Linked DNA regions of Caenorhabditis elegans. The gene in region 2 interacts genetically with the main gene of each other region. Each region holds a gene or a part of one and is shown on either strand. Other genes may lie near its edges.

Region 1 (7,445 bases), on a different chromosome or scaffold from region 2:
AATTCTAGATCTTGATCTTTGATATGGAATTTCAAACCACTTTTGCAAAAAGAATCGGTTTGATTAGTGAAACTTAGCATATTGAAACTTATAAAATTGCATAAAACCCCCGATTGTCGGAAATTATTGAAACTGACAGTTTTCAACATTGACTATTGCATGACCATTTTTTAGTTTTTCTTGTGCAAAACCGAAAAATCGAAAAACCGAATAATTGGAAAACAGAAAAAAGTAAGAAAATTTTTCATTTTTCGCTTTTTCCACAAAAAAAACCGGAGGTCTGATGCGTATATGTATTCATTATCTATTAATATGAATGCAATACTATTTTTCAAAGCGAATGCATTACAACTAGGTTGTGCAATACTAATTTTCATACGCCTTTTTTGTTTAGGATTCCATGTTTTCATTTACAAGAACAACTGTTTCTGAAAGACATTTTGCAAAATTGTGGTTAATTGGAACAAAAATGCAATAATCCTAGCCTTGTTGTAATTTTGCAAAAAAACATTTCAAAATAAACAGTCTAAATTTTAGAAGGTGTTCGAGGTGCAGTACTACTAAGAAGTGAAAGTCTAATAGGAAGATCGTACGTTTGAAGTAATTTGTAAATCAAGACGAATAGATTTAGACGCGTTTTCACTTTACAAGCTCATACCTCAAAATTTCAGATATTTTCCACAAAAATGAATGCTAAACTCTGTAATAGTGCTTTTTGTAAAGTTTTAAAAAGATGATCAAACCAAAAAGGTTTTATCGAGAAGAAAACGAAGACGGACAGAATTTTGAAAATGAATGAGACGAGAGCATTGTGAAAAAATGAAAAGAAAACTTAACATAAGAAGATTCGTTGTATAAATGATGCAATTAACTATCACTATGGAGATGGGAAAAACGGACAAACGGACACACAGATAGACACGTTTTGTACTACGATTCTTCTTTTTTTTACTAAATAAAGAAATCAGAGGGAAAGGGAAAAAGGAATGGGGGAAAATTTATCGGGGAGGATTCTTGAAACTCATTATTCTTAAAAAGAGCAATAGAATTAAGTAATAAGAAGTGTGACTTGAATGAATGAAGAGTATATTTTTGAAAACAAAACAATGAACAGTTTGAGAGGGGGTAGAAAATAATCAAGAGAGCATTGGAAATGGGGAATAAGAACTAGGCTGTTGTTCATTTTGCTGTTGCTGTCCTTGCCAATATGTCTCGTCTTGTTGGAATGGTTGATAATGTTGAGTGTACATAAAATCTAAATCTGAGGGACCTGATTGGTGCATTCGCTTCGCTGGTGGGCTTCTCTGCAAAAATTAACATAATGTTAGGAGCCAAAAACAAAACAGGCTTACGTCAATGTGCACAGGCCGAGCAGCTGGGGCTTGAGGTACCGCAGGTGTAAAGTCAGGCAAGTCGTAAAGAGCTTGAAGCTCTGGTGGTAACCCCTCGTCCATTTGCATCATATCATAAGTGTCAACGAATGGTGCCAAGCACGATAAATCAGGCTCTTCCCATTGAAGATCGTCTGAAAGTTAAACATTTTGTTGAAAGTTATCTGATTTCTTTCACGAATGAGATTGATTTGAACATTTAAAAAAAACTAACCACAAAGTATTGGTTCGCCAGAGGTTAATGTTGGCGACGAATCGATCCTTTCGGCAATGGCGATAGAATCGGCAAAAGGCATAGTGGAGAACACATCATTGCTTCCGATGACTGGGTTGATGCCTCTAGTGGACGACACATTGAGAGTATCTGATGGTGAAAGGGCGGAAAAGCGTCGTGACGAATCGGACGGATCGCAGCTACGTCCCATAGATCGAGCGTCTCCGTACACGACTTGTCCAGATTTGATACTGCAACTGATACAAGGATATTATAAACATGTACATGCTCAACGTGCTAATTGTGAAAAATGTATAAAAAACTAACCTCGGGGGACTGTTAAGTCCACATTGTGAGATGCCCTCTGCAAGTGGCGAGTAGTTGGCACTGTGTGGCAATGTGGCCGATGCTGACGTGGAAGACGATCCAGTTGTTCGACTTCCCTGACTTTGTGCTCTTCGTCCGTATGATGTCTTCGGTCGGGAGGTACGAGATGACGAATCCATGAAGTCCGGCGAGGCCAGAGCGGAACCGAAATTCGACGGTTCGGTTGTCCTGAAGCGGTCCGCTGACCGGTAGCGTGCCGGCGGCGGAGAGCTTGGCTGGTCGCGAAAAAGCCATTGCAAAACGTCATCGTAGCTGTTCTTACGTGCTCCTGAAATACACACGTTAAGAAATCACTTGCTAAATGTATGGAACTTTGAGTAGGCGTAGGGTAAAAAATAATACGACATGCATGGACAAGTTTGACAAGTTTGAAAATAAGAAAAAGAGAAACTCACGGAGGTATGAGGACAACGGAGGGGAAAACTGCGATCTGTTGTTTTTTTAACTTAGTAATCATAATCCCATTTCCCAAAGTACCTCCTCTCCGCCGTCCTCATCCTCTCCGTCAACTTCCATTTTCTCATTATAAATCGGAGCCAGATCCACATCGAATTCCGGTGCTAAACCGGAATCTTCTATGGATTCTGTATCAGAATCCATATCGCAGTCTTCTATATCATTGCCGGCAGAAATTTGCCCATAAACACGTTGCTCATACTCATCCGTCACCGAATAAATTCCTATATACGTACCTCGTAAATTATTCAATTTGGATAAAAAAAACTTAGGTGAATCAAACTGTATAATTACAAACTTTTAATACGTTCTTAAACATGTACTTACCCATATCAGCCTGCTTAACAGGTTCTTCTCCACCAACGACTGGCTCAATAACCGTATCAAATGGATCTTCTGGCTCGATCAATGGAGTAAAATCGACGCATTCCACAATTTCAGGTTGTCTTCCAATATAGTCTCTTGTATCATCCACTTCCTTCTTGATATCTACTTGCATTCCAGCTGGCATTGAATCAGTGCAAACTACCAATGACTCTTCAGCTCCTTGGATTCCGAGAACGTAATGAACACAAATGACATATTGTCCTTTTTGTCCTTTCGTCGTATGTGTGATTGTAGTAGCTTCTGTTTGAATCCAGGCAAGTGTGTCATTTGCAGCAATCAACCGGTAATACGGGGTACGGATGTGTCCTTTGGCAAAAAGTTCCTTCATGGATTTTGATACTATCATCATATCGGCTGGATGTACCAATTCGTAGAAACTGGTGCCCATGAGAGTCTTCAGCTCACTTTTCAAGATGTAATTGAACTTATCCGAAACGAAAGTGATGCGCATGTCGCAAGTGTGACGAGTTGTGAATGCACCCATTGGGCTTTCCGTGTACTGTAAATTAATCCATCTATATTTTTATTAAACTTATAGCATCTATAAATCTGATTTGAAAAAGTTTTCGAATATACACGCCCTTTAGGACTCACTTTTCTATCTAGGTATTCAGAGTCCCTGCTCATTTTACTTTTGCAAACGGAGCAGCAATACAAGATGTAACATCTTCTCCGTTTTCTCTTCTGCTTCAAAAAAGGAGAAGATGACGCCAAGTTGCATGTGCTTGTGCTTCTCTACTTCTCTCCAATTTTCTAATCCTGTTTTCTATGCGCGAGGTGCCAACGGCTGAGTGTGCTTTGCTCAAAGCACTATTCTCTATTTTAAAGATCAAAAGAACAAACTTTTCGAGCGAGCAGAAGAATAAGAAGAAAATGAAATTGTGTAACGTCTACTCAACATTTTGTCTCACAATTCCATCAGTTTATCAAGAAGCGGAAAGGAGGAGCAGAAATTCCCAAGATCAAAAGTTCAAACTTTAGAATCTTACTATGAAACATTCAAAGCAGATATTCACCTTTGTCATTGCAGATGCATTTGCATTAGTTGTACCCTGTCCAGCAGGAATTGTGATACCTTGCATGAATGACACGTGTCCACCAGTTGAAACTTTTGAATGAACCAGGAAAGACACTGATTTGTACAAAGCACTCTTCAAATTCAGACATCTTCCACGTGGGCTGATGACTGTCTTCATTCGAAGCACCATGTTGATGCCGGTGGTGTCTGTGTCCTCGCCACGTGGCTTGTGCAGCATTTTTGATTGCTTGTCAAACTCGTCATAGTCGGATGGATGAAGAAAGTCTCGAAGGGCTCGACCTGTTAAATCTGTCTGAAAATATATCGATGTTAAAGAAGCAAGTTTTCTATTGCTCACCTGTGTTAATCCTAAATACATTGCAACACTTTCAGTGACGTAAAGAATTGAAGAATCACTGTCAACAATCATAACAAAGCCGTCCAAGCATTCGGCGATGGTGTCTTCAGTCCATACCTCATTTGTGATTTCATTGTCCAAATTGTTTTCCAATACTGAAAGAAAAATATTAATTTGAGAAAAATTGGCAGTGATTTTTGGTCGATTTTCTCAGCATAAAACACGATTTTCAAGTGATTTTTGATGTTGAATCAACTATTTCTTTATTCGATGTCACTTACCATTACCGGCTGTCTTGCGCAGTCGACAAATTGTGGCGGCAACACGAAGAAGTGCAATACGGTCTAGATGAGTTACGGTACCTTCTTCAACAATAGGCACACACATTTTCAGATCATCAAATATATCCGATTCTTTAGACCGACGATCACGAGCCGCGTGTCTCGATGTTTCACGACGGCGTTCCATGTTTCTAAAAAGTTTGATTTTGAATTTCTTGTCACCCCAAAATTGGTGAATTTCAAAAAATTATATACCTATATAAGTACACTTCTCATGAGGTTTTTCGATTTAATTTAGTTTTAAGTATAACTGGGAAAATTTATTTTTTCAAAGGTGGAGTAGGAGGAGCCAGTGGAGAAAGTGTTGAAAACTAATCCAATGGTACTAAAATGACCGAATATCAAATTAAAAATTGTCAAAAATTTTTTGAAATTGTTTATTTACCGTCCGTTAGATGATAATCACTCAATTTTTGCCACTCATAATTTTGGAAGCATAGTAGGGATCGGAACATGCGGCATTCCTCAAATACTTATGTTTGTAAAAATTTTGGCCATTTGCCAAAACTTTGACCGGAAATTATGAAAAATCTAAAAAATTTTTAAGTGTTTTATTATGATTTTTGGTTGTTTCGAGCCATTGTAAGTGTATTTTTTAGGCAAAACTGCCACTGGCGCTACTCCACCTTCAATCACAATTATTTCACAATTTATTTTCATAATTTACTTTATCTAACATCTCCGATTAAAAATGAGTTGTGTCTAAAAAGAGCGAGATATATTTTATATAGATGATTCACATTTGATATTCGATTCGGAAATGCGCATTTTCAATACATCTACCTCTGCCAATGCTCCCTCTCTCTCATTTGCGAGCAGAGCATGGAGCAAACCCAAAGGACTACGGTACTTCTAGCGTTTTCAGGCATCCAATCATGGAATGTTTAAGAATGAATTTCGATTCTAACAGAATTCTAACTCTACCTTTTCCGATTGTCTTCCATCTTGATAGTGAATAGGTGCAGCTTCAGTGAAGCTGAGGTTGGTGTGATTGGGGCAACTTCCCCGTAATGACGGGCAACTTTCAGGTGGGCTGAAAATGTATGACAATTTTAAATTGAATAGAATCGGGTAGAGGGAATTAGAAAAATTGTATCAAATGTTCTTAAAATTATCATTGAGAACATAAGGGGTTGTTAGATTTTCGAATGTTAACACTTTTGAATAAAAAATCAAGTTTAGTTATGATTTATAGCACTAGGGTAGAGTGTAGTGAGACAAATTGAAACATCATAAATACCAAGGGTGCACAAAACGATCGATTGGATATGTTAGTGACAGTTGTTTGGACGGGGTCCCAGAGGACGTCAAGATTTGTAACAATTTCATGGACAATTGACTATTTGTTAGGCAAGTATCATAAGAATGTTGCAGAAAACAAATCATAGAGATCAAATGCTCAATTTAAAACCCAAATCTAAAAACAAGAACTTAGGTAGACTGGAAATTTCGCTGAATTCAATTCAAGAAAAATTGTCAATTTCTTTATATTGAGTGAATACAAACTGATTACAAGAATCATGTGATAAGCCAGTGAAGGAGAAAAGGGCACACAAAAAGATTAAAAGCAAAATTTTCCCGATTCAAAAATATAAATCTGGATATTGATGTTACGTCAATGGTATGAATGGGGCAAGATTGAGGGGGTGACTAACATCAAACTATGAATGAACTACGATCAATCTTTGAAAAAATTGTAGTTGAAGTAAGTCAAAGAACAGGGGAATCACTAGAATGTAGTGTTTTCACCGAGCGTAAACAATAATGTTTTTGAAGATAACTATACTCAAGTTCAGAAAGGGTAGTTTGTGTAGTGATTTTAGTTTATCCTTATTATCAAGTGAATTTCAAATAAAATAGTTAAGATCGGGATTCAATCAATCTTTGGACTTAAAGGCGGTGTAGTCGAATTTTTAATTACTCTATTACACTCAAAATTGTCTGAAAACACCGAATTTTCTAATTAAATTTTTGAAAAGGACACAAAAAAACTATGGCGGCCCAAAATATGACAAAAAAATAAGTTTTCAGCCGCTGAGAGTTGCTCAAATTTTAAAATTTAACTGATTTTAGGTCCTTTTTGAGCCACCATAATTTTTTTGAGAAGTTTTCAAAAAGTTTCATTAAGAAATTTGGTGTTTTCAGACAGTTTTGAGTCTAATAAAGCTAGTCCTTACATCTCATATCACACTTTTTAGCTTAATCGAGAAATTGAAAATATCGATACATCAAGAGAGTGCACAATTAATATAAATCCTCAAAATATAATAAAGAATTGTCGAAAGTTATTGGAACATTAAATAAAATCAATAGTCATATGAAACGAGGGAAACAGATAGTCATCATCAACAAGCGGGAGGCGACGACAAAATGTAAGAAGAAAGATGTTGATAAGACAAGAAATTGAACGACAGTGGGCAAAACGACTTCTCAGAGACTGTCGATTGACAGAATGTTAGACAAAAAATTGGGGGAAAGCTAGAGTACAGAGAAGTAGAGTGACTGATAATTGATTAAATTTAGCGAAAATTGAGTTTAGTCCATATCTTTATAATGGAAAGGATCAACTTTTTCCGATATGTGGTTCAGGAGCTATGTTTTGACATTGGAGTTAAATAAAAATTTAAAATACAGATCAATGAAATCAAACCTATTAGCGTTACCTTTGAACTATAAGAATTAATAGATTTTCTGAAAATCTGAAATCTCTCATTAGAGAAAAACTGAGCAGCTAGTGGGCGGTGCCTACAAACCAAAGATGGGCATCCAAACATTTCTTCGTTGATCAAAAAATGAATTAGAGAAGTAGAGTTTTCTCTGAAAATTGAGAGAGGTGAAGAAAAACCAAAAAAAAGACCTCTCATCTAACACACTCTCTTGACCCAGTAAGTAC
Region 2 (5,105 bases):
TTTTCTCGTGAATGTGTTTCTCCTTTTCTCCCGTTCATGCCCATCACCTTTTGGCGCATTGCCAAAAGTGCGTGAGAAGCCGCAGTTCGTTGTGCTGAAGCATGCTTCCTTGTGGGGCGGGAGCAACGAATATGGCGCCGCCCTCCTAGTTTTTTAACGTGTTCTCCGCAATTCTAGCCAATATAATAGTGACATCTAAAAAAGAGACGCAGAATGAGTAGAAGAATGAGAGACTGTAAAATAGTTAACTATTTCTCTAAAGTGTGACAATAGAGAGAGTAATACTTTATGATTACATTATATGTGTCCTGTAATCACGTAAATTAAGATACATTGTTTCCTAGAACCTAATTGGATCATGTTTTTGCAGCTAGTTTGTATGTGGAAAAAGCTCAACTTATTGGAAAGCGATAATTAATTTCAGGAGTTTCCAAGAATTTGGATTCAACATAACATGACAGTCTGAAAAATAAATCCTCCCACTTGTGATCACAGCTGGTCACTTTGCTACCGCCCCCGGCTGCCTGACTCGCATGCCTATTTATTAAAACTGATGTATGTCCGTTTCTGGCTTCATTTCTTGCCCCCTTCTCGATGAATGAAATGACGTCACCAGTTCTTCTTCATCGGTTCCTCGGCGCCAAGTTGTCCAACGCCCCGGCGCCAATTCCTGATGCTTCGGCATCAAGCTATCATTTTCAGTTTGGTTTCTGATGCTAATTCGTGTAATATAACTCTGTCTCGATTGCTCTCTCACAACTTTTCATCGACATTCAGAAGTGAATTTTCTGTGATATTCAGCTTTGAGCTGTGATTCAGCTTTGAACAAATACCTAATGTGATCTTGTGAAGTCAAACTTTAATGAAAATTAAATGAAAGTATTTAGATTGACACGACGACTGAATTATGCTTTCTAAAAACTAATTAAACTTTATATTTCATCAATTGAACGAATTGAACAACGAGGTGGTCCATGTAATAATTATTTCCATCGAATGATTGGTATTTGTGTTGAAAAAAAGCCGCATGTTTCATTTTGTTGTGATTATTATCACCGCACTACTTGTGACTTCCTGTACGCACACTATCCTTTTTCTCCCGCGTAGTCGACATGTCATCATGATACTTTTACGATTCCTTCACACTTTATTTGACTATCCATTGACCGTGTGAAAGTTTGGAATTTTGAGAACGTCAGTCTGAAAATTTAATAACAATATTTATTTTAGACCATTTTGATTATTGTTCTTGGTAAATTTTCTTTTATCGAAACGTTCGTATCATTTTTTCAACGTGTTTAGCAATCAAATGGTACGGTCTCCCATGGAGAAAATGGTCATCTTAACGGTATTTGCCTCCCATGCATGATTTCACGGCGCCCACCCACGCTTTCAAACCGCCGTATTTTATTATTCGTTTTTTTTTTCAAAAATGAGTCAGTCGAAGGAAAAATACGAGGTAAGGGGGTACAAGAGATGTTAAAACACCTACTATTCACTCAAGACTGACTCATAATTCACATTTTAAAGTGGCACACATTTTTTCTTGTCGCCATGAGCTCTAGTTTCAGTTGCCATCGGAAACATCCACAATTTCTGAGGGAATTTTTGCATGATCTTCTTAGCCACGTCGTGGGTCAATACACGTTGATACCCAACATTCTGAATATTTTCTTTTTTTGAAGATTTTTCTTGTTTCTCAAAATGAAGTTGGCGAAACTCCAAGATATTTCAATTTTAATCGCCAAAATTCAAAAATTTTATATTTTGATATAGTCAACAGTTTTTTTCGAAGTAAAAAGTGCTCCAAACGTTAAAAAATTCACCTGTCTGTGATTCGTGTTATACTGCGTCATATCATGTGACTGGCGCCTGAATTGTTTTGTGTCGTGTTACTCTCTAACTCTCTTCACTCTTCACATGCATTTCAACTATTCACAAGCCTGCATCACATTCTGCGTCTTACATTTTTCTTCAATCTCTTACATTTTTTACTCTCTTGGTGCCACTTCTAAAAATGTGTAGTAATTTTTTTAGTACTAAATATATTAAATTTGCAGATATTCATCCACCAATTCCTGGTGAGAATCTCTATTCGACTGCGTCTCTTCATTTGTTACAATACCATCGTCTTTCAACATATAGATAAAGTAAGTTGTTGAAATAATTAAATCTGTTGTGACGAAATAACTTTTCGCAAAATCTAGCTGATTTTCAGCTTATTAAATTTCAAAAATACCTTCGTTTTTTCCCAAAAATGAACACGAAAAAAATTTAAATTTTGCAAGTTTAAAAAGCTTGTTGCAGTCCTAGTGTAATTTTTGAAAAAAAAGTAATTAAACAAATTTATGATTTTTAGGTTAGCGTCAGGCTAACAGATTTTTTTTCGCTCATTTTTATTCGGAAAAAAATCGAAAAAAAAGAAAATTCTCCACTTCGGGTTCAGTTTTAGGGAAAAATTATAGACTAAATTTATTTTTACACGAAAAAAGTCATTTTAGACTTTTTCAAACTAGATCAGTTAAAAATTTGCGAAATGTTGTTTTTATTTTGTTTAAAATAAATTTTAAAAAAAATCAAATTCATGTTTTTACAGAATTCAAATGCAAGCAGTAATAGCACTTTGTCACTTTTGTGAAAACCACGGACCAAGAGTTGTTATGACTTGTCAGCCAATGCGAGACGTTGATGATAAAGGTGAGAAGGAAATAATTTTCAAATTTCAATTATGTTTTAAATACACTAAATTCAAAATGAGATTGTGAATAGAGTAAGGTAGTAGATACTGTTAAAAAAAAGAACAAAAATAGCATCTCGTAATGCGCCATAAAAGTCGCAGAAAAAATTGGTCTAAAAACACTTAAAACGGTTGTTTCAATTTTGGACCAAAAAATGATAATTTAAAATTTTTTTGCTCAAAAACCCCATTTTTGCCAAAAGAAAACTCTAAAAATAAATGAAAATCATGCAAAAATCTTGCCAAATTTGATTGGCTCTGAAATTTTTTGTCAAATAATTCACTGAAAAACCCTCTAAACAATTTTTAAATTTTCCGTAAAAGCTCGCCAAAAAACGGAGATCTTCTAGAGAATTAAAATTCAGAATGTTTGCTTTATGCCCATTTAGTCAAGAATTCGCAACGAATAATTAAAAATTTTTTTAAAAAAGGTCTACATTTCTCGAAAATATATAATTTGTCGCCGATGTTTTTTTTAATTTGAGACAGAAATCGGCAAAAAAAACCAAAAATCTAATAGTTATGGGGAGTAATAAAATTTGGGACAGAAACATACCTCCTCTAATAACCCATAGACCACGACGAAATTTAAAACTAATCAATAGTATCCATAGTTCATTGAATATGATTTTATGGAGCCGAGAAAAATGTATACTGAACATGAAAAGGTCTCATTTTGGCAGAGATAACCACCGGACGAAAAAAAAGATGTGCAGCCAACGGTCTCTCGTTGTCTACGGTCTCTCGTGTTCTCGTAATCTATTTTTTCTTACTGCTAAACAAGCAGAATGTCTCTGGAGACGAAGAGAATATAATGATGGACTGTTTTCATATATTTCATAATAAATGGAACAGCTGAGAAAGAAAATATGCAAAGATATTTTAACAACACACTGCAACTTGCCATTAAAATTTTTTTTTAGTTTACTAAAAACTCAGGAAACATAATTGGAAAGAAATATACAAATGTATTATATTGAAGACTTAGGCTGAATTTCAGTTTATAACTCTTCTAAATAAGATTTCCGGTTATTCGTGTTTTAAAAAAGTGTGCAAGACACGATTTGGAAAAAAACAGGAATCTAGAATTTGATAAAATTAACTTTTTTTCACGAAAATATATTGAGTTAAAAAATTAAATCTATGTGTAAGAACTAATTTTTATTTAAATAAATTTCAGGCGCTTCATGTACAGCTTCAACATCATTAGGACCATCTACAAGTAGCTCACCTCCAGGAATAATAGTTCCTTTAATAAAGGTTCGATAATAATACCAATTTAATTAATAATTTTCATTTTAAAATTTCAGTTCGATGGTGAATGTGTTGTAAAGGAAAAAACTAACACAGAAGATGGCACATCTTATCCCCATTATGGGAATTGTACAAAGTTTACAATTGATACGGAGGACAGGTAATTGAAAAATTAATGTTTTTTTTTTTTAATATTTTAATTAATTTATATTAGATGCTCGGCATGCTCCTCATTTCGAAATGGACCTTGCCTTCTGTCAAATGATCATCAAACAAAAACGAGCTACATCTCTTCAGAGGTAATTTTTTTCAAAACACAACAAAAAACAACAAAAAAAAATTTTGGAAAGGAAGACGAAAAAAGTTTCCCAAAAAAACACGAAAAACACTTTAAAATTTCCAAAAACCGAAATGTTTTTTTTCAAGCTCAAAACGTTATTTTGAGCAAAACTGCTCTCTAGATATAATTTCAATTGTAATTTTTTGAAAAAAAAAAACTGTAAAATTTAATAATTTATGACTAAGAAGCAATTTTTGCCAAAAACACGAAAAAACAAAAAAAAATGGAGAACTTTTTGTAAGAAATTAATAGAAGCTTGAAACGTTTTTGAAAACTTTAATACTTTGATTTCAATGTTTTTTTTTAAAGAAAAAACTGTAAAATTTCGAAAAGCTTTCAAGCTAGGGACAGGTTACCAGAATTTTTCGCCTTGTTTTAAAGTACAATTAAAAAAGTTTTAAAACAATTTTTGCTAACGATGAAAAATAAAGTTGATGAAGAAACATTTAAAAAAATGGCTAAAATTTCAAACTATTTTCTAAAAATCAATTTTTCTCAAAATATCGGAAAAGTGAAAAATCTACTACGCCGACGGGATGTCAATTCGGTTTTTGTAAATATTCTTAATTTTCAGGTAGCACTTCAAGATCGAGTATACGAACGGGTGAAAAATGCGTGCTTACGGTCTCTAAGCTGTGAAGTGTCGGCTGCTTCAAAGAAAAATCCCGTACAACCTCCGCCTCCACCGTTATCAAGGTCTACAACACCCAGAAAGATTCATCCATATGTGATACACGAGGAACCGTTACATGGTTAATTTTATTTCTATTTTAA

Evidence for each region.
Region 1: of flcn-1 (region 2) and hif-1, changing one suppresses a phenotype caused by changing the other (phenotypic suppression), as found in Caenorhabditis elegans (one study listed by BioGRID).

Annotation. Positions count from the first base shown.
Region 1 is NC_003283.11:20,778,553-20,785,997, reverse strand, and holds hif-1 (Hypoxia-inducible factor 1), read right to left. Parts: upstream 5,592-7,445; 5' UTR 5,497-5,591; coding exon 5,477-5,496; intron 4,684-5,476; coding exon 4,493-4,683; intron 4,367-4,492; coding exon 4,212-4,366; intron 4,167-4,211; coding exon 3,852-4,166; intron 3,527-3,851; exon of another isoform or gene 3,463-3,526; coding exon of another isoform or gene 3,430-3,462; intron 3,335-3,429; coding exon 2,776-3,334; intron 2,673-2,775; coding exon of another isoform or gene 2,470-2,672; intron 2,261-2,469; coding exon 1,933-2,260; intron 1,863-1,932; coding exon 1,606-1,862; intron 1,526-1,605; coding exon 1,353-1,525; intron 1,305-1,352; coding exon 1,137-1,304; 3' UTR 738-1,136; downstream 1-737.
Region 2 is NC_003280.10:6,926,710-6,931,814, forward strand, and holds the start of flcn-1 (Folliculin), read left to right. Parts: upstream 1-2,060; 5' UTR 2,061-2,150; intron 2,151-2,596; 5' UTR 2,597-2,603; coding exon 2,604-2,697; intron 2,698-3,917; coding exon 3,918-3,997; intron 3,998-4,047; coding exon 4,048-4,151; intron 4,152-4,205; coding exon 4,206-4,290; intron 4,291-4,905; coding exon 4,906-5,083; intron 5,084-5,105.